2 linked regions of the Alligator mississippiensis genome follow. The protein of the gene in region 2 interacts with the protein of the main gene of each other region in a pairwise test. Links are inferred from orthologs where the notes say so. Each region holds a gene or a part of one and is shown on either strand. Other genes may lie near its edges.

Region 1 (8,998 bases), on a different chromosome or scaffold from region 2:
GGGCCAGAAGGACTTAACTTTGCAGCAGCAGGCTGCCCCCAGCACCCTTCCCTGTCACCAGGAAGGGAGCCCTGCCCAGCCCCTGAGTTCACAGAAGCCACAGACAACAGTTTGCTGTTGTGTATCAGGTACTGAGGGCTCCGGTGGTGCTCACGGGGCCTATCTTTGCCCAGCTGTGGGCCAGTTGGGGCTGGTGTCTCATGGAATTGTAGCACACAGGGCTAGGGAGAGGCCAAACAGTCTTGTTTATGGAGCTGCATTGGCCTGGGCAACTTCAAAGACTTGATGGGCTGCTGTGAAGAAGAGAGAAAGCCCTTTTGAGCATCAGGAAATACTTCTCTATCAGAGCAGCGAGGCAGTAGGATGGATGCCTAGAGGAGCTGCAGCCTCTCCATCACTGGAGAATTCAGAGAGAGGCTGGACAGCCACTGGTCAAGGATGATGTAGGCATAGTGACACCTGTGCTTTGCTATGGGCATTTCCCAGGCTTCTGGGCTTTGCTGGTTGCTCCTTTCCTGCCTTTTTGCTATATGTCTCAAGGGGTTTTCAACCCTCCCTCAGAGGTATTGGGTGTTCACTGCAGCCCAGGCTGGAAATGGTGACAGGGCTGTGCCAGTGCTCCAGCTGGGGCTAAAGCCGGAGGGCCCTGGCTAGCAGGTCTTGACCTTCCGCTCAGGGTGAGTCTGATGCTGCATTGGGGTCGGGAAGAAATTTTACTCCCTGATAAGACTGGTATGGACTGGGGGGCAGGGAGGGTTTGCCTTTCTCTGTAGTGGGGGCACAGCCTCTGCCTGGGACCCCTCAAGTATTTATTAACAACCTGTACAGCACTAGGACGTTGGGTGCTGCAGCCCCCCTCTTTCCCTGTGGCCGATTCAGGTGTGTTGTCTGGTGTTGTGTCAGAGTTACCAGTAGACTTTTGTTGAGTTTAGATGATGGATGTGTCTGGGATGGTTTGGACAGGGCTGATCCCACCTCAGGCAGGGTTAGGACCAGAGGTGACCTCTGCAGGTCTCTTCCAGCCCTACTTCTCTGTGACTCTATGGGTGACTGGAAACCACAGGCCTTTGTACCCACTCTATCCGGACCTCAGCCCCATGGAGAGGGCCCTGCCTTGTGGTGTCCCAACCCCTTCTCCTCCTGAAGTCCATGGGAGCTGAGCAGTGTTGGCCTGGCATGTGATGGAGGAACTGTTGCCTTGCCTTCCACAGATGCCCATGGCTAACCCCGCGTGGTCAATCTGAAACCCACAATGCTCTGACAGTTCCACGCCTGGCTACCTCTGATGCAGGCTGCCATCACTGCTGAGTAGCAGCCACACTCTCCATCGACCCCAATGGGCATTCACCTCCCTGGACATCCCTGCTTCCCCCTCCACCTCTGTCTCTTTTGTTACCACCGGCTCTCAGGTCTCGCTCTGCTGCTCTCCTATCAGTCCCGTCAGGGGATTCTGGGGACAGTTCTTCAGAAAGGAGACTTGAACACAGAGGAGGAAGTTGTAAAAACCAACTGTGGGCTTCTCAGCTTGTTCACATGCCTCTCCCTTCTCTTGTGCTCAGAGCCATTCTCCCTCTTCCTTCAGCCCCTTCCTTCACAACCCAAAAGAGAGGAAATCATGCTGCCTTGCAGCAAAGATTTTGGCAATGATAGTGACACTGCTCTGAAGCTGGAGTCAGTGAAATTGCAGCTGGAAGGGGCAATAAAGCCCCTACACTACCCTCTCTCACCCTGCTGCTGCTGCCTCTCCCTAGCCCTCCCACCCTGCTCCCCTGGGGGTCCTTCTCCAGGCTCCTCACTAGGGCACGTAAGTGTGTGGCAGGGTTTGAGGGCACAAAAGTATCCCGATGCCCCTTTATAAATCCCTGGGGCAGCCACACCTTGAATACTGCACCCAATTCTGGTCCCTACACTTCCAAAAGGAGACAGAAGAACTAGAGAAGGCACAGAGTGCAACAAGGATTTTGCAGCATGGAGGAGCTTCCATATGAGGAGAGACTAATGAGAGAGAGTGAAGTGGATAGATAAATTAGATAGATAGAGTGTGGGGTGGATAGATAGATGCATAAGCAGACTGTGGGGTGGATACATGGACAGGTAGAGTATGGGGTGAATAGATAACTGGATAGGGTGGATAGATGGATAGACAAGAGCGAGGGGTGGTAAATGGCAATTCTTATGTTCTTATGAGTCACTTTCTGGACAACAGAGCCTACGGACTGCTTAAACTGGTGGTTCACAACTTTGACAGGAGTCAAGACACCCCTCGTTAGACCTAACATCCCACCTTGTTAGACTGCAGACTCTGCTTGGACAATGCCAGATATTTGCTTTTGCTTGTTCCTTGATGACAGAACAATCCTGGAGTGATTCTTTGGCAAAGACCTCAGCAAGGTGCCAACAGGGCTTGGATACTTGATTCCTATTGGAAATCTCTGGGTTTCTCTTGTGAATGGTATACAGTGTTAGCACCCTTTAAAGGAATCATGGCAACCCCAGGTGAGAATCACCAGTGTCAGCGTGTTAAGGCCATGTGGAAGCCTGGCTGGTATCGGTGTCCCAGCGCCTGCAGCTCTTCTGAGCAGAGACACCACAGGAGGCAGAACCATGGGGGCACAGTAGTTCCAGCAACATGGACCTGGTCCCACTGCTGTAACCACATGGGTGCAAGGGTTTTACTGCCATACAGGAGGCATGAAACCACTGCCCCAACGGCTCCACCGCCCCTACAGTTCAATGCACCTTCTGTCCACCCAGAGGCTTTGCTGGGCTGCTGTTAAGACAGAGTTTCAATGTAGCTGCAATGGCATGAATGACCAACTTGCAAACTCCTTCTCTCTGTTGGTACGGCCGTTATGGATGCGAATTGAGAGTGTCAGGTTTATTAGCAGCACTGGACTTGCTACTGAGCTAAGAGACTCCATCTGCACCTGTCCGGTCAGTTTTGAGAGTAAGTCATGAGTCTTAATTGAAATAAAGCCCTTTTGCCATGGGAGCGGAAGCTGGAGAGAAAAACCAGATTTATTTACAGGCTCCAATGCTGTCAGTTGGCTCCGTAAGAAGGGCCCGGAAATAGCAGAAAGGGGAATTGAAACAAGGCTGTTAGAGAAAGCTGCTGCTAGAGCCGGTCAGAAGCAGCCAGCCGCGATGTCTTTGGGAGCCCTGGCTGGGCCTCAAAAAGGACTTGGGAAGCCGAGAGTGTCCAGGGGGAGCAGCAGCCAGGATGTTGACAGCCGTGGCAGCAGCAGCGAGCCTGAAAAGTCCATAGCAGTGATTCTCAGCTGGAGGACCCGGGAGACTCCTGGAAGGGGAACTGTCAGGTGTGCAAACGCCTACACAATTCACAAGAAAAATACTGTGATTTCTCATCCACAGTGTCCCAACCCTCCTACCCTACTGGTGTCGTGCTGAGGTCTTTGCCATAGAAGAATGGCTCTAGGACAGTGGTTTTCAACCTGTGGTCTGTGGAGCCCTGTGGGGCTGCAGGCTGTGGCTAAGGGGCCTGCAAAAGATGACCGCAATCAATCAAGAGTATGTGAATATCCACCCTTACAATTCAAATGGGTCTGTGCCTCTGTTTGAAATTCCCAAAGAGGTCCGCAAATGGAAAAAGGTTGAAAACTACTGCTGTAGGATTTTGCCAGCATCAAGAAATGAGTGAAAGTGAAGAGTGGAGGCTGACTGGCGGGGACTGGAGAAGACTGGGACCCTGCTTGGCCGGGGGCGGACACTCGCCCACCGGATCCCGGGTGAGGGACCAGGGCCGTGGATCGCCGTGCCCCTCCAGCAGGGGGCGAAGGTGGGACTACAACTCCCAGGGTGCCCCGGGTCGGGGAGGCGGGGCCCTGCGGAGACGGGCAGCGCGTGTGGCCAATGGGCGGCCGGGGCCGGCGGGGCAGCGCGGCGGCCGGGCGCGGAGCTCAGTCGGGCTCGGGAGCGCTCGATGGAGCGGGCGTCGCGGGGCTGGGGTGAGCGTCGCGCGGGGCTTCGCACGCGGGACATTGCCCACGTAGGGCAGTGCGCCCCCGCTCTTTGCACGCTGGGGCTTGCATGCGCGGGACGCTGTACACGCGGGCACCAAGTTGCACCTCCCGGGGGCGTGTCGCCGAAGCCGGGGCTTCCCGGGCGCATGGCGTGGGCTGCCCGTCTCCCTCCGCTGCCGGGCCTGCCTCAGTTTCCCTGTGTGCAGGAGGCGGGGGGCGCCGCCCTGGCCCCCTTGTGGAGTCCTGGCGGGGGGAGCCCCCCAGCTGCGTCCCGGAGGTGGGGAAGCTCCGTCCCGGTGCCAGGGGGCACCATAGATAGGGCTGGCAGGACTTGCACCCCGTCCCCTCGCCGGGGCTCCGGGGAGGCTGGCGGGGAGAAGGGGCCGTGCCCAGCGGAGGCACATTATGGGGCGGCGGGGCATGGAGCTTCCCGGAATCGGCGTCACGGCCGGTACCGCCCGCGCTGGGCGTGTGCCAGGGCCCGGGGGGCTGCTTGTCTCCCCACTCACACGAGCTGGGCTGGGAGCGCCTGCATCCCCGGGGCGCGGGCAGGCATAAGCATGTGCGTGTCCAGGATACCTGGGTTCCCCACAGGACTTGGCAGCACCTTGGTGCTTGCCATCGGTCCCATCTCTCCCAGCTCAGCTGTGGCTTAGCTCCCCGTGCCTCAGTTTCCCCCACTCCACAGAGTGGGAGCAGTTGTGGGCAAGTGCTCACCATGGGTTTGGTGGCTGAGGCTGTCTTGCCCCCCTCAGGTACGGGCCTGAGCCGCAGAAACATCAGACTCCCTTTCGCTGCCTGCCTGCCTCTAGGAGGTCCGTTTTCCATGGCTGTTAGCTCCATCACCAGACCGGTGCTGGGGACTGCTGCTAATAAGCCAACGTGGAACACGGGGCAGAGGGGCATCACCCCATCTGGCACTTGTCTGGATCCCCCTGTGCCCCCCTGATGTGCTGAGATCTGGGAGGCAAGGGCTGGAGCCTGGGATCTCCCCTCTACCCAGTGCTTGCTGGGAAGGATGGCAGAGATGTCCCATCTGCCGTGGGCGGGGCAGGGCCGGGAACAGGACGTCCTGGGGGCTGGCAAGAGGCCCGTTCTCTGCGGCTCCAAGCCGGGAGGGGGCTGAGTCTGCACGGGGGGGGGGGGAGATGGTGGTGCCCCAGGGCCCATGTGTGAGGGATGGAGGTCTCGGCACTGGTGGGATGTGAGCCAAGTGAGGGTCCCGTGGGGCATCAGCGTCGTGGTGCTCCCCACCCCCATGCCAGGGGGCTATGCAGGGTCTCCTCAGGGGGGCAGGGTCTTGGGGGTGCTGGACAACATCTTGGCATTGTCACAGTGTGGCACCAGGGTCCCCACAGCAGGCCTGAGGCAAAGCTGGGAGGCTCCGTGGCCAAGGGGGGGTACAACTAGGGGACTGTCAGCCGGGGTTGGGATGAGGGGTCTTGGCCAGCTCCAGCTGCTAGAGGCATCTGCCTTGGCCATGCCGGGGCTGCTGAGGCAGCAGGGGGGACATGCGCAGCTCTCCCCCAATTCCAGGAAGCCGCCCTGAAAGTGAAAGTGCAGGGTGCTGTTGATAAATGCAGGAAACGTGTTGGCTACGTAGCCTCATTCTTGGAAAGCCCAGCATGAGCCCTCTCTGCTCCCCACCCCCTGCCAGCTGGCTGGGTGGCCTGAACTGCCCTTGCACTGGGGACAGGCATCTGCCAGGCTCCCTCCTCAGTGGCCTGTCTCCTCTTCCTCCCCACAGCCCCTAGTCCCAAAGGGAAACACCAGAAGAAGGTGCCGCCTGCCATGGAGGAGGAGAGTGTGTCTCAGCCAGGTGCTGCTGATGCTGCTGCACTGGATGCTGAAGAGAACCCAGGTCCCACTGACCCCACACCCCAGGCGGTGAGTGAGATGGGGCACCACATCCCCTTCTGAGGGTCCTGGGATGCGCTCGAGTGCCGGGAGATGAAGAAGTTGTGGGGAGCCATGTCTTCAGCTGCCCCCGCGAGCCGGCATGAGGGCTTGGGGCTAGTCCAGCCTGCATGCACAGCACTTGAACCACTCCAAGCAGGCTCCTACTGGCCTCAGTCTTGGCTGCTTGTCGCCAGCATCCATGACTGGGTCAGGCCAGGGTTGGTCCTGTTCCTTCTGGACTGAGGGGCAGCAGCACAAGTTATGTGTCCCAGGGCGAGCATGGGGGCAGGGGCAGGTGGGTGTTTGTTCCCTGGCCCCCTGTGCCCTCTCCCTGGCATTGAGGCAGGGGAGAGTTGGAGGAGCTCCATGGAGCAGTGGGTTCCAGGCCAGGCTGGGGCTTACAGCTGGGCATGACCCACAGTGTGGAAACCCAGCCCTACACCCTGACATCCAGTGTTGGTAACCCCAAAAGGGGACTGCTGGCTACACACAAGGCCCCCACAGCTCTTCCTGGCTTCTAGTTCCATTGTTGGAGGCTGCTGCCTATGTGGCAGCTGAATGAGTGTGCCAGTCTCTCTCTCACGTGCATAAGTGTGTGTGGGGGGGTCACAGCCATGACAGAGCATCCCATGGTGCCCTGGACCACAGCACAGCCAGGGTGGTGCTGCCCATCACAGCATTAAAGTACATGGGTTCTGGGATGCATGTCAGGTCTTGCCTTGAGGCTGGGAGCTCCCCAGAGCCTCTGTCAGTGGCTGGACCCTAAGCCCCCGGCCGGCACCTTCCATAGGGCCGTGGCCTGGCATGGAGGTGCCACCACTGTGGACATCTAATTGGTTGGATGCCCTGGAGCTGTTATGAGAGGCATCCTTACCTTCAGAACCAGACCCATGGGGTCTTCCTGGCATGTTGTCTCCTAGCATCAGGAAACACATAGGGCCTGAGGGGGGCACTGGTCATCCCTGACCAGTTAGTTGCAGGGTAGAGGGGAGATTTCTCCCCTTCAAGGCCAGGGGCCAGAGCATCTCAGTGCTGAACTCAAGCTGCCTCCACCCCATGGGGCATGAGAGACAGCAGGGGTGGCTGGGCAGGGCCAAAGATATCCAGCAAAGCCAGGCCTGCAGTGGGCAAGATGAGTTTGTTGGGTCTCAGTCCAACTTCTGCCAGGCAAGAGACCCTCTCCATGCCCTACTGGGGCAGGCATACGTGGGCAGGGACTCTGCCAAGGTCCTGGCAGGCTTGGGGAGGAATGGGATAGCAAGCTGGAGATGTGCCCAGCAGCTCTGCCCCCTCTCCCCCCTTCCCCTGCCTGATCTCAACTCTGCTGGGGCTTAAAAAAACAAACCTCCCCCCATCCTCAGAGGCTGGGTCTGTCTCCGCCTGCGGCGAAGAGACACAGAAGAAGTGGCGGAAGAAGAGAAAAAAAAGCAAAGAAAGGGGTCTCCGGAGCCAAGCAGCTGCTTTGCCCTAAAATAGCAGCGAGTTTTCTAACTCCGGAAAGCACAGAGCAAACACGGAGCGGTGTTTTCAGCCCGGCGTGAGGCTGGGGGAGCAGAGAGGGAGCGAGAATCTCGGTCATTCTGTTTTCCTGGAAACAGTTCCCCGTTCGTGCTCCGCTCTGACCAACTTGGCCACCTGCCCGGGTGGGAGGAGCCATGCTGTTTCTGCTAGAGCCGGTTGGGTGCTGTGGGCCATGGGGCTGGGAGAGGGGAAAAGGCCCCAGAGGCATGGGGGTGGGCTCTGGTGATGAGGTAGGACGGCAAAGGCAGTATTGACTTCTGAGGAGCCATGGGACATGTCTTGCCCTGGGAGTCTGGGCTGCCACCTGGGACTTCAGGGTCTTCCAACAGGCTCTCGCCGGTTGGGGCCCAGACTCCTGGGCTCTGTCTCTGGCCGCTCTTGCTGTCAGGGCAATGGGGAACTCGGAGCCTGGACTCCTGGGTTCTCTCTTTCTCTGGCTGCTTTAGGAGTAGGGCAGGCTCTTGTGGTCAGAGCAACGGGGGATTTGGGGCTTGGACTCCTGGGTTCCCCTTGGCTCTGCCAGGACCAGGGCCGAGGTCGCTCCGGCTTTGGCAGCTCCCGGCCCCTGTGGCTGAGCGTGGGGCTGTCTCTTTCTGCAGGCCAGTGGCTCTGAGGGGGAGCAGAGGGACCCCGCAGGGGAGCTGGGCGAGGACGCAGCCTTGAGCGGTGAGAAGGAGGAGGAGCAGGCCTTCCTCGTTGGCCTCTACAAATTCATGAAGGAACGTCGCACGCCCATTGAAAGGATCCCCCACCTCGGCTTTAAGCAGAGTATGTCCCCTGGCACCTCTCGGGGCCTTCCAGAATCCTTTGCTGGTCCCAAATCTGCCAGACTTCTTTACTGACAGCCACAGGTCTGTGTGGCACCTTGCCTGTGCCAGGCTGGCCTGGGCAGGGCCCTGATGTGGCAGCACCCCAGGGAGGGCTGCGGCTGGGTCCTGTGGTCACTGCAACCCCCCAGCATGGCTGAGGTCCCCCAGGCCCACCTGAGCAGGTTGAGGGGGGGCAGTACTCTGGCTAGGGCACGAGGATGGTTCCCCTGGGCCCTGCCCTCACTCTGCTCCCGTCCGTGTGTCTGTCCAGTTAACCTGTGGAAGATCTACAAGGCCGTGGAGAAGCTGGGTGCCTACGAGCTGGTGAGCGGAGGGGAGGGGCCGGGATCACATCCTCTGGGCCTTGTGCCCAGCTGGTGACTGCTTATTCTGGCCCTGGCATAGGGGGCAGCAGAGCTCCAGCCATGGGGCAAGGCAAGGGGAGCTTCTGGGCTCTCCTGGCTTGCTGAGCTGGGCTGGGGCCATGGGGACCAAAGCTTGGAGCCAGATCCCAGCTGATTTTGGCCCCTGGGGATGGGTGGGAGAGCAAGTCAGAACTTGGCAATGCTCCAGCTGCAGGTCTCCTGAGCTGTCATCGCCCTCCAGATCAGGGCTCTGCTCGTCCAGCCATGCCCTAGGGCAGGGGCACATGAGGAAGGCGCTGGGCACATCCTGGGGCCCTCACCTCCCTCCCACCACAGGTCACAGGCAGGCGGCTCTGGAAGAACGTCTATGATGAGCTGGGCGGGAGTCCTGGCAGCACCAGCGCAGCCACCTGCACCCGGCGCC
Region 2 (11,226 bases):
TGGCCCTTAGACAGCACTATAATAAAAAGTAACCAAATTGGAGTGAATTGGCTGAACCAGTCTAAAACACTTAGGTGTGCCCTGAGGTTACAGTGAAATCTTCTGCACTAGCACAACCGTTTCCAGCAAACGAAGCAGAACTCCGCAAATGCATTGCACTTTGTATTTTAACTTGACCCTACTTCACTTACCCAGAACACAATTTTGGGACAGCCACAAGTCAGTCCATCCTTTTCTCTGTTCATTTTTTTCACCATGTTTGGTTACGAAGCTTGGTGAAGAGCTCAGCAAGTCCTGTTCTCTCCCCCTCACCCCAGTCTTTCACTCCCACTTCAAGTGTAGTTTTCCCTTGTACAAGATCTACCTACAGAGGCGATTTGCAAGAAGGCAAGCAAGAGGAAGCAGGCCTTGAAGAAAGCTGTGCAATAGCCTAGTGTTTTGTGAGGTCTAATGCAACTTTGGCACTTTATTCAAATTTTCAAAATAGTCTTTATTCTACTTTTTTTTTTTTAGTATAAAAAAATCCACAAGTTAAGTGCACCACAGTGTGTACAGAGAGAAAGACTTAATGCTGAACTTCCATAACAGTCAGTTAAATGGTTAAACACAACATATACACAATACACAGACTTAGATTAAACTGAAACCTCAAGATAAAATATATTCAAATCTGATTTTTTTTCTTCATAAAACAAAAACCCAAAAGATAGAGGATCCCTGAAATATTTCTTAACCCTAATAAGACTTCACTGTACCCAAGCCATTTTTTTTTTTTAATTATGCATTCCTAAAACAACCCAAACGAGCAAGGAAATTTGTGTGCTGACTGACAACTGCAACACACCTCAGTGCAGATGGAAACCACCTGTCTCTCTGTTCTGACTAAATCCCCTTAAGGAATTTTGCTGTCAAGACACCAGGCTGCTCTAAAACAGAAAACAAAAATGTTGCTAAGCTTGTAGTTTTTAAAGGTCTAGATAGCATTTAATGAAATGTTTAAACATGAGTTGCATTGTGTTTCTGGCACCAAAGCATGGCTTTGATTAGATTCTTAAATGTGCAAAGAAGTCCAAGATTCCTTGGAGTGTATAAAAGAACGCCCCGTGGTACACTCTAGCTGTATACCTTCCTGGAGAGAAATGAAGAGCAAATGTGAGCACAGAGTGCTTCAAGGGATCCCTTCTCCTAGGAAGTCAGGAAGGAAAAAAGCCCTATATGTCTGACTATGGGCCCTCCAGGGAAAAATTAATATGACTGGCTTTCTATCCACAGATTCTATAGAAGAGGAAACATAACACACATCTCTCAACCCTACTGCCAGGCCATAGAGTTGAGACAGGTCTGCACGGATTAGATGTGGAAGCCAGGTTTCTTTCCTAACCCTTTCCCACCCCCACAGCCAAATTCATACCTAGCTGATTAATAAAGCAAAAAAAAAAAGACAGTGCTACAGTATTTACTCCAGTGGAATTAAAAAGAAGATCTGTGGGGCTCCTTAGCTCACGTTCATTTCATGATTTAACCCCGGGTGAATAGAGGCACTGCTACCATGACATGGTTCAAAAGGACTCAAAGTGCCTGAAGGGATGGGCATCAAGAGGATGCCCCATCCAGTATGTGTCTAAACTGCAACTTCAGGTTAATATGACTAAAGCAGTTACATGGTGAGAAGTGCTGACAGTATGTGATGTCTTTCCTTACACAAATGAAGCCCCCTCCCCCCGCCCCCCTCGCGCCCCTTTTTGTTTGACTTGATTGTTCACCAGATAGTGTAGCCACCATCCGAGCCCCCCAGAAAGAAGTTCCCCTTCCGTTGCGTCACCAACACATTGGCACCCTGCATGACTGCCAGCTGGGCTGCATTGGGAGGGCAGCCAGGAGGTGGGGGCTGCAAGACAAGAGAGAGGAAAAAAAAGAGTTAAGAGGCTCTCTGAGGCAGAGGCTGCAGTGGTTGCTCAGCCTAGCACAGAAGACATCTTGGAGCACAGTGAAGATGCTCCCCTTTGCACGAGCACAGCAGAGAGGACAGCCTTCAATGACTGTGACCACAAGCAACCAGAAGTGATGGAAAGCACCTTACGCACACTGTCTGAACTGGGAACAAGAAAGGCAAGGGACCGGTAAAGGCAGTGGAAGAGGAAGGACTTAATGCAGACTTGGCTTCTCATCCATCTCCAAGCATAATGGACAACAGCCAGAGTACAAGATGCATCTTATAACACAGGGAGCCAAACACCAGCACTCAGTTTGCAGCCAATTATAAGATCATAGGAAAGCAGGGCTGGAAGGGACCTCATGAGATCATCTAGTCCAGCCCCCTGCTCAGGATCATCCCCAGCTAAGCCACCCCAATCAAGTGTCTGCCTACTCTCTCTCGAAATTTCCATGAACCTGCTTGTGAAATTGTGCTTAAATGCTTATGAGAAAATGCCTGGTGTTGAAGACTTAAGGACTGTCGTCTTGCCCCCGACTGCCAGCTTTACTGAGTAGCTCCAAAAGTGACACATGGGGTTTCTGTGGTATGCTCATACTTACAGGGATATTAGTAGTGGCACCAGCTCCAAACCGTGCTCCAGCATCAAAGCCACCCTCGACAAGAACCGCTGAGCCTGGGGGATAGACAGGACCCACAGGGTAGTATGCCATTGGAACGGAGGAGCCTATGGGTCCCACAGCCACAGACTGTGCCACAGGCAGGAACAGAGAAGTACCAGGATAGGCAGCAGACATAGTGGGCATGGTGGCAGGCCCTGGAGGCACAAAGCTTGGCCGGTAGAGCTGAAGGGAAAAAAAAAAAAAAGAACACAAGTGCATTGGAAGAAATATTCCTTGCTCCAAAGCCATTTCCTCAGATCCTTCCTCAAAGTGCTGATAATGTGATAAAGGCGTAGCAGCCCGATCAGCTGCACAGATAGCTCCATCACTTCTAACGAGAAGTTTGTTCACTTTACGAGAGGTCGAGGCACAACACCCTCTTCAGACCCTCTACTTTGCTTTTGCACCATAGCAGCCACTTTGTGGGAAGCTCTGAAGGAAGTTTCTGCCATTTAAGAGAGTGGGCCAATTCAAGATCTGCAAGAGGAAATGCCCGAATAGCACCCTGGTTTAGTCACCAAGTGAGCATGTACACATGCACTTTGGGGCAGAGGTCTCATTGGCTTTGTCAATGAGCAATCATTTAGCAATCATCAGTTGAGACCGCTTGCTGCTCTTGTCCTATGAGGTGAAAGGTGTTCCAAGCTGCCAGAAATACAGGCAATGAGCTGTCATGTGTTAATAGCTCAAAATGGGAGGCTGGAGGGGAGAAAAGGTGCAAGAGCAAGAAAAGGGCCATGCCTTATACCTCTGAGTAAGCAGGAGGCGCATCAGTGTACGGTGGTGGCTGAGGAAGAGGCATGGTCTGTGGATACACTGGAGGATTACCAGGGGGCTGGACTGGGTAGGAAGGCTGTGTTGGGTATTGACCTGAGAGAGAGAGAGAGAAGAATACAGCTGGTGTTAAGTTTTACCCTTACAGACATCGGACAGAGGGTGGATGAGTTCATGGAAAGCCCCTTCTTCTGCAGTTTTTTTAAGCAGGATTGCTAGAGATCGTTAACCCTGGAGGTGTTAGGCATGCACCAACAGATACCCCCCATGCGATTCCCAGCCACAGAGCCCGTTCATCACTCTCGACCAATACAGCTACTTCAGTCAGAACTGAAAGCAAGAGGTAGCTAGCAGTTATAGTCCTTCACAAGGAAGCAGGTTAAAAAAAAGTTAAGCAACTTCCTGTGGAAAGTTTACCAACAAACCACATTTTTCTAAGCTGGCACTTCACTGCTTGGACTTCAAGCTGACTCACTCTCCTACAAGTAGCACAGATAGCAGGGCATCAACTACGCTACGTATGGATCCGTTTGCAGCTACGGATGCGTTGCATCATATATGCAAACCCCCCCGGAGCATCTGTTCAGGATGCTAACATTATACGATGCAAAACTAACCCCATCTGCCTCGAGTCACGGAAAAGCTGAGCTCCCAAAAGACGAGACTGGGTTTCTTCAGGAAAAAAAAAAAAAAGGAGGCCTGAAGCTGGAAAAACACCGATACACCCCGACAAAAACAAGGCACCTACCAACCTCTTACCCTTTTAACTGTTACGGAATGAGAGCTGATAGACCACTATTGTGACGTGCACCTTCGTGTATGGACAAGAGCAGTTGTAGGCATGAGTAAATCTGCAAGCAAAGGCTGACGGGAGGTAATAATTAATACTGCTGTTAAGTTTTGAAGTCACCGCTGCCCAGTTCTGAGTGCAGCTGACACTGTGCTCTATTTTCTAATCTTTTTTTTTTTTTCCCCTTAACCCCATTGCTATCAGGTGTTTAAGAGCGGCGTGTTTACCTACTCGGTTGCATGCGAGCAGGTAACCACAGAGAGGCCGGACTCCAGCCAGCCACTGTCAGCTCCTGTCCGGCCTCCGATTATGTTTAAAGACCGCTCGTGGATTGTAAATGCCCAAAAGCAGCATTTTAATCTATTCCGAGTCCAGGGCAGGGTGAAGGGGAGGGGCGGGAAGAGGGACCCTAGTGTGAGCCCCCGCACGGACGGCAGGTTCTGCATGGACACGTTTAACCTCTGCGGTGCCGCCAAGCGACACCGACACCTGAGCACGCACACAGGTGTACGTGTGCGAGCGTGTTTGTGAATGCTGTACGGGTTTTAACAAGCGTGTGTGCATGTGGGAATTCTATATCGGTGTTAATGAGCGTGGTGTGCACGCGCATGTGTGTGCATATTCTGTGCAGGCTGTAGTGAGTGTGTACACACTCCTCTGGGGCCGTGGACAAGGCCAAGCGCGCCCGTGACGGGGCCTGGCAGGAGGCTCCGGCTGGCCCCCACCCCCGCCTGCCCCCCCATCGCCCTCCGCAGCAGGGAAGGGGTTAAGGGCCAGGCCGAGGCGCGCGGCGCCATGGAGACCCGAACCCCCGCCCCCCGCCGCGCTCCCATTGGCTGCGCCCCCCGCCCGGCCCGGCGGTGCCCGGCGGCGGCGCTGGCCTGCAAGGGGCGGGGGGCGCTGCCCGGGCCGCACCTTTGCTGTTCATGGCGGCGGGGCTGCGGCCGGGTCGCTGCGCGTCAGTCCGGGCCGGCGGCTGCACTCACTTCCTTGTTGTTGTCACTGCGGGCTGAGGGGACGCGCGACGTTGCCGCAGAGCGTCATGACGTCAGGGCGCCGTCGCGCGGGCTCTTAAAGGGGCCGCGGCCGGGCGGGGGCGGGGCTCCCGAGTTGCTGCGTCACGGCTGGGAGGGGTCGGGCAGGGGCGGCCTGTTCCTGGCTCGTGTGTCTGTGTCTACGCGCGTGTGTGCATGTATGTGTGCATGTGTGTATATGTGCTTGTGTTTATGCATGTGTGTACGTGTGTGTGTATGTGCATGTGTGTATTTGTGTCCATGTGTATATATGTGCATGTGCATGTATGTATGTAGATCTATGCATGTATCTGTGTATATATGCGTGTGCGTGTGTGCATGTATGTGCGTGTATGTGTATATATGTGCATGTATATATGTGCGTCTGTGTGTGTATATGTGCGTCTGTGTATATATGTGCGTGTATGTATATGTACACAAGGTTCCTCGGGTGAATCTGATATCTTTTATTAGACCAACTCAAATGGTTGGAGAATAGTTATTAAGCAAGCTTTCGGGTTCAGAAACCCTTCATCAGGCTAAGGAAGTGTCAGCAGTTGGTGTGTGCTCTTCCTGGATGGAATGAACATATGTGTATGTATGTGCGTGTACATATATGTATGTGCATGTGTGTGTATATGTGCGTGTGTGCATGCGTATGTTTGTATGCGTGTATGTACACATACACAGACTAAAGGTGCGTCAGTCAGCACAGTTCAAGAGCAAGACCTCCGCTCCCTTCATCCCGCGGGATCGATTTCCAAGCAGAAATCCCAGCCCTGGGCCGGGCCTGTGCCTCCAGGCTTGGGCTCTTCAGTCACCCCAAGACCGGTTGCTGAACCACGGTCAAGATTGTCCTCAAACCGAGGGATTGCTGCCCCTGGGGCAAACCTCCCTCCTCTTGTCTGCGGGAGAGCATGCGCCTGTTCTCCCAGTGTTGAAAGACTCATCCCCGCTTTCTGAATTTTAGATGTAAACTTTTCCTGACGCCTCCTGGTTTTGGGGGGGAAGAGGAGGAGAAAAAATCCTCAGGCCTCTTTCTCCAGCTCCTTCTTAAGCATCTCAATCAACCGGTTCATTCTTCTCTGTGTTTAAGTGAACTCCTCATGAATAATGTACAGGGTTCCTGATGAATATGCACATCGGCTTGGTATGCCTGTGAGGACTTTATAAATAATTTATGAGCATCAAATGTTCTTCACCTTGCTCCTGTATGGGGAACTATAAAAAAATATTTACCCTTTCAAGTGGCAGTAAGATCAGTATAGACAGCTTGAAACCCGCCTATTAAAAATACCCAGGGAAGTGGGTTTTTGCATCGCTGAAGTTGTAAGCGCTGAAGAGAAAGGGAGGAAAGGAAAATGCATTGCCATTAGCAAGAGAAGGGTAAAACGCTAGCCGTTTTCTCGTCACGAGCTAGAAAATGGTTTCTGAAGGCTGATGGAGACTTGCTGCCTGTAAAGGCCCTGATCTTGCAATCTACTGCATGTAAGGTGCTGAGCATGGTCTCAAAGCTCATGGTGACCGGTGGGAGAGTGGAGGGTGCTCAGCATTTAGCAGGATCACCCCCACCCCTCACTAATGGAAATGTGTCAATATTACCATTCTTTCTTTCTAGTCTCCTGATGCTGCTATACAGGAAACTTCCCAGCAAAGGCAAAGCACATGTTCTTTTGTGACCGGGAGAGAAAAAAAAAAAAAGCAAGCAAAGCATTTCATTTCCACTCAGGAGAGCCAGCACCTTCCAGAGATTTTGAAAACCTGGAAGGATTTAAATATATATATATATACTATCTTGTTTGAGAAACCTGCAGCCTCATGGAGACAGCACTCAAAGCTCCATTTCTTAGCGCTGCTCTGCAAATCGAGCCCAAAGTGTCATCACCCCTGAACTGACGCCCTTAAAACTAAAGGCTACTTTCAAGTGCTAGGCTGTGCACAAAAGGTCTGCTTGGGCACATCTACACGTGCGCTTTAAAGCGCATTAGCCTATTTTAATGTGCATTAAAGTGTCACTTTAAAAACAGTGCTATTTAGTTAATGTGCATTAAAATAGGCTAATGTGCATTTTCTTAGTACCTACACGAGCAGCAAGGCTGCTCCTATGTGCTGTAATTCCAGCGTGTTGAAGCAGACTCAATTAATCAAGTCTGCTGGAGCATGGCAATTACCATCATTTTGAAGCATGGGGACAGTGATAAAGGAAACACTCAGGGCGCTTTAATTAGAGTGGCACTCGGAGCTGCTCTAATTAAAGCATCTCCCCCAGCCTTGCATATAAATGCCCCTTGTGCTTAGAACAAAGCATTCTAAGAGGGACTGGGACTGGGAGGGTTTTCTGTCTGTGGGTGGCCTGGGACACTTGTTTGCACTTAGCAGCTAAAATGCAAAACATTGGAGTTGCAGGAAAGTTTAGATCTGCCCAAAGTAGGCCAATGCCCCAGGGAGTGGCACTGCTTTTTTCACGGTGATGTTGCGCAGGGCCAAAACGTGCAGACCAGCATGGCAACACACGTGCTTTAGTGAGCATTAAAGCATCACCAAAAAAAGTGGGCTTTCACTAATGCACGTTAAAAAAAAGCTAATGTGCCTTTTTCTAGTGGTACTAATTTTAATCGGCATTAGCAAAAGCACATTAATGAACATGTCGAGGTGCCCATTGACATGGATAATTTTTGGGGGGGTGGGTTCCCCTCAATTTAAATCAAACTCACACCTGGAAAGGCCCTGGGTTTCCCAACGTGTGTGCAGTACTTATACTCCTGTGTTGTTAGCCTGAGGTTAACAACAGTTGTGGCCACTCAGAACCCTGCAGGTGCAGAAGCCTAATTGGTGATATCAAAATAGTAATTAATCATTAGCTGATAATTACTTTGTGACAACTCCTGCTTGCTACCCCCCCAGGGCAAAGTTCTGGCCCCATGGAAATGAATGGGAGTTTTGTCCATGAGTTAGTTGGGGGCAGAGTTTCTCTGGCGGGACAGGTGAAGCCTGCAGGCCAACATAAAGACATGGTAGACTTCTCTCTCTACCTGAGCTCTAGGCAGTGGGAAAGGCAGGCCTAGTCCCAGAACATCTGGAGGAAGCTGGTGAGTGGCAAATGCATCAGTTGTGGAATTGCATATCTCTGAGGGGTGTCAGAAACTCCATGGTTAAGTGCACTCCCTTTGCTACGTATGGTAGAGAAACCAAATGTCTAAACCAGTGAGAGGCAAAGACAAGAAAGCTGGAATACTAATTTGGGCTTCTACCAAAATATCCTGTGGACGTAGCAAGCATTGGAACAAGGGGCTTGACAATCGGCCAGAGCAAATGTTATTTCTGTCAACTATTCCTAGGCCACATTTGAATATAATTTTTTTTCTTCTCTCTCTTTCTCTGACCGAGCTATTTTCTGCAGTAAAGATTCTGGCGCTTGTAAAATAAATTCATCTTGGAGATAAATTAAAAATGCAATGTGTACCCTTTTATCCCCCTTATGTATTATATTAATAGTATGCCAATGTATGCAAATGAGTGTGAAATTCAACTAGATGGAAGTATTTAAATATTCATAATCACAGTACAGCATATGCAAACCAGACTCTCAACAGAATTGTGCTGCAGAGGCTCAAATAACAGCTGTACTGAAGCAAAGACATTTTGAACATAACTGATCCGGTTACTAATGAAAATGTTGTCGGCAATGGGGGTGTATTTATTAATGTTTGTGCACTGGTATTAATATCTGACTCGGGCCTCAGTTCAGGCATTTAAGTTTCTGCTTAAGTCTAATTGAAGTCAGGCTTGCATTTATGTACTTCCTTGAACGGGAAAGAGCTGCCTACAATGCCTTGTTCAAGGAGTTCCTCTGAAAAAATAGATCTGGTACTCATCAGATCTTAAATATGACCTTGTTGTGATCGTAGAGAGGAGCCAGTCAACTCTGAATTATTTTAATTCAAAATACTTTTTTTTTTTTTTATTCCTGAAAATAGGATGTAGAATATAAATTAGAAGCAGAAACAGCAGTTACATGCTTTTTACTATGAATGCACATTACCCAGGTTTCAGGGGCGTAGGTTATAGCCGTGTTGGTCTAAGGCAGGGGCGGGCAATTATTTTGGGCAGAGGGCCACTTACTGAGTTTCGGAAAGCCATCAAGGGCCACATGACAGGCAGCCCAGGGCAGGTTAATTAATTTTCTAATTTTTTTAGGGGCCCTGCAGACTGGATAGAATGGCCTGGCGGGCTGCATCCAGCCCCCGGGCTGCATTTTGCCCACCCCTGATCTAAGGACACTGGCAGACAAGGTTCTTTGGGTAAATCTGATATCTTTTATTAGACCAATTTAAACAGTTGGAAAAAATTTTCTTAGCAAGCTTTTGGGCACAAACACACCCTTTGTCAGGCTGATGAAGCTTCATCTAGGTTGTATTACCCAGGTTGTGATGTATGTATTTGTTCATGTAAAAGCGGACGTGTATTTTAGAAGCATGTTGTGACAATCTTATGAACTTTAAACAAAGGTTAATTTTAAGGCAAAGATTTAAAATCAGTCCAATAGGCAAAGATTTAAAATTAGTGCAGTAGCTTTTCTGCAAAGCGAAACCAGAAGCTATAATTCTTTCCAGCTAACACTGGATGTGAAAGAATGAGGTAAAAATAATTCTGCTTTATGAAGCCACATTCTTTTTTTTAAGAGGCAGCAACAAATGAAACATGCTGCTCTTTCCCCCACACCCCCCGACCTTGCTTAAAGAAAAGAAGCTAACATTCATGCCATTATTAATTTTAGAACATGCACAAAGCAAAATAATAGGATACGTTGGTTCCTTTTTTGCAGTGAGTCAGAGTGAGTCAATTGGTCCATCATTTGGTTTGAGTTGAAAAAACCCACAAATCTTTCATCTGTGATAGGTTGATGTTAAGTTGCAATTGAGTTTCCTTTATAAGACTGGTTTCCTCTGCTTTCTTGCCCCTTCCCTCCCCGCCTAAAATCTGCCTTAAAGCTGCTAGGTGAGACTGGAGACTGACATCGTGCACAACACCCAAAGTGAATGGGATGGCATTGTGCTGAGTGATCATCCCAGCTAAATACAAATGCTCAGCAGCAATCAGGAAGTGATCCAGCAGGTTTTATTTGCCACTTAGAAATGAAATTCACTCATTGCCTTCCCAAGAGGTCTTATCTCTGTATTGGTTAGAGCAGGGCTGCCCAACTTCTAGGTGGCAGGTGCCTGCAGAGCCCTGGGCTGCATGGGTGCATACCATGGAGGCAGCCCATGGCACTTCTTCCCCCCAGCACTGTGGGCAGCCCAGCTCTGCTCTGAGCCACACATGCGGTCTAGCTCCTCTCTCCCAGGCTGCACAGAGGGGGAGCAGCGCAGACCCCCTCCTCGCCCTCCCTCCCCCCCCCCACTGCACCACCCTGCCCCCCAGAGCAGAGCAGAGCAGGAAGCAGAAGCCCAAAGAAAGTGGGGAGCCAGCAGCAGGAGCAATGGGAGAAGTGGCAGCCAGGCTTGCACCCCGCGGACCTGCAGCTGGACCGCCCTGCATTGGACAGCGATGACATCCTTGTCGGGAGGTGTCACGTGCAGACAGTTTCTGTCCCATAGAGATTAGGACCTGAAAGTCAAAATTCACGCCTGGACTGAACGCGCCTATAGTAACTCCGGGCGTAAACCTGTTTGCAATCTCAGGCCCTTCTGCCATCTCCATTACTGTCCCCTTTGAGCACTTCAAATTCTTCCCCAACAGCCTGGCGAGGGCGGTGCTGCTTTTTCTGGGAGTCGGGTACGTATATACCAGGACGCACCTGGGCCTAAGAGACGTGCCCAAGGTGATGCCAGAAGTCGGTAGCAGAGGAGAGCATTACACCCAGGGCTAGGAAACCCCAAGTTCACACTGTAACAACTAGGCTAAGCCAAGCTACAGCGCTGCAGCCTGTTAACTCTCCTGCTGGCCTTTGTCTCTAAGGCTCTCAACCAGTGTCAAAGCCGTTAACTTGAGTGTGCTTCGGATCCAGGCTCCCGGAGAAGGCAGGTGCCAGGGCATCCCCAAAAAATAGCATTA

What was found. The genes of interacting proteins can lie anywhere in the genome.
Region 1: the proteins of DAZAP2 (region 2) and ARID5A interact in binary tests that used the Homo sapiens proteins (3 or more experiments, as listed by UniProt). The two-hybrid records come from large-scale screens. The link is inferred for Alligator mississippiensis from reciprocal best matches to the Homo sapiens genes DAZAP2 and ARID5A.

Annotation. Positions count from the first base shown.
Region 1 is NC_081830.1:10,575,027-10,584,024, reverse strand, and holds the start of ARID5A (AT-rich interactive domain-containing protein 5A), read left to right. Parts: upstream 1-3,869; 5' UTR 3,870-3,940; coding exon 3,941-3,965; intron 3,966-4,023; exon of another isoform or gene 4,024-4,257; intron 4,258-5,727; coding exon 5,728-5,867; intron 5,868-7,999; coding exon 8,000-8,168; intron 8,169-8,480; coding exon 8,481-8,533; intron 8,534-8,910; coding exon 8,911-8,998. UniProt on the Homo sapiens protein: DNA-binding protein that may regulate transcription and act as a repressor by binding to AT-rich stretches in the promoter region of target genes.
Region 2 is NC_081838.1:10,210,013-10,221,238, forward strand, and holds DAZAP2 (DAZ-associated protein 2), read right to left. Parts: upstream 5,202-11,226; 5' UTR 5,088-5,201; coding exon 5,075-5,087; intron 4,234-5,074; exon of another isoform or gene 4,129-4,233; intron 3,466-4,128; coding exon 3,344-3,465; intron 2,779-3,343; coding exon 2,536-2,778; intron 1,889-2,535; coding exon 1,760-1,888; 3' UTR 466-1,759; downstream 1-465. UniProt on the Homo sapiens protein: In unstressed cells, promotes SIAH1-mediated polyubiquitination and degradation of the serine/threonine-protein kinase HIPK2, probably by acting as a loading factor that potentiates complex formation between HIPK2 and ubiquitin ligase SIAH1.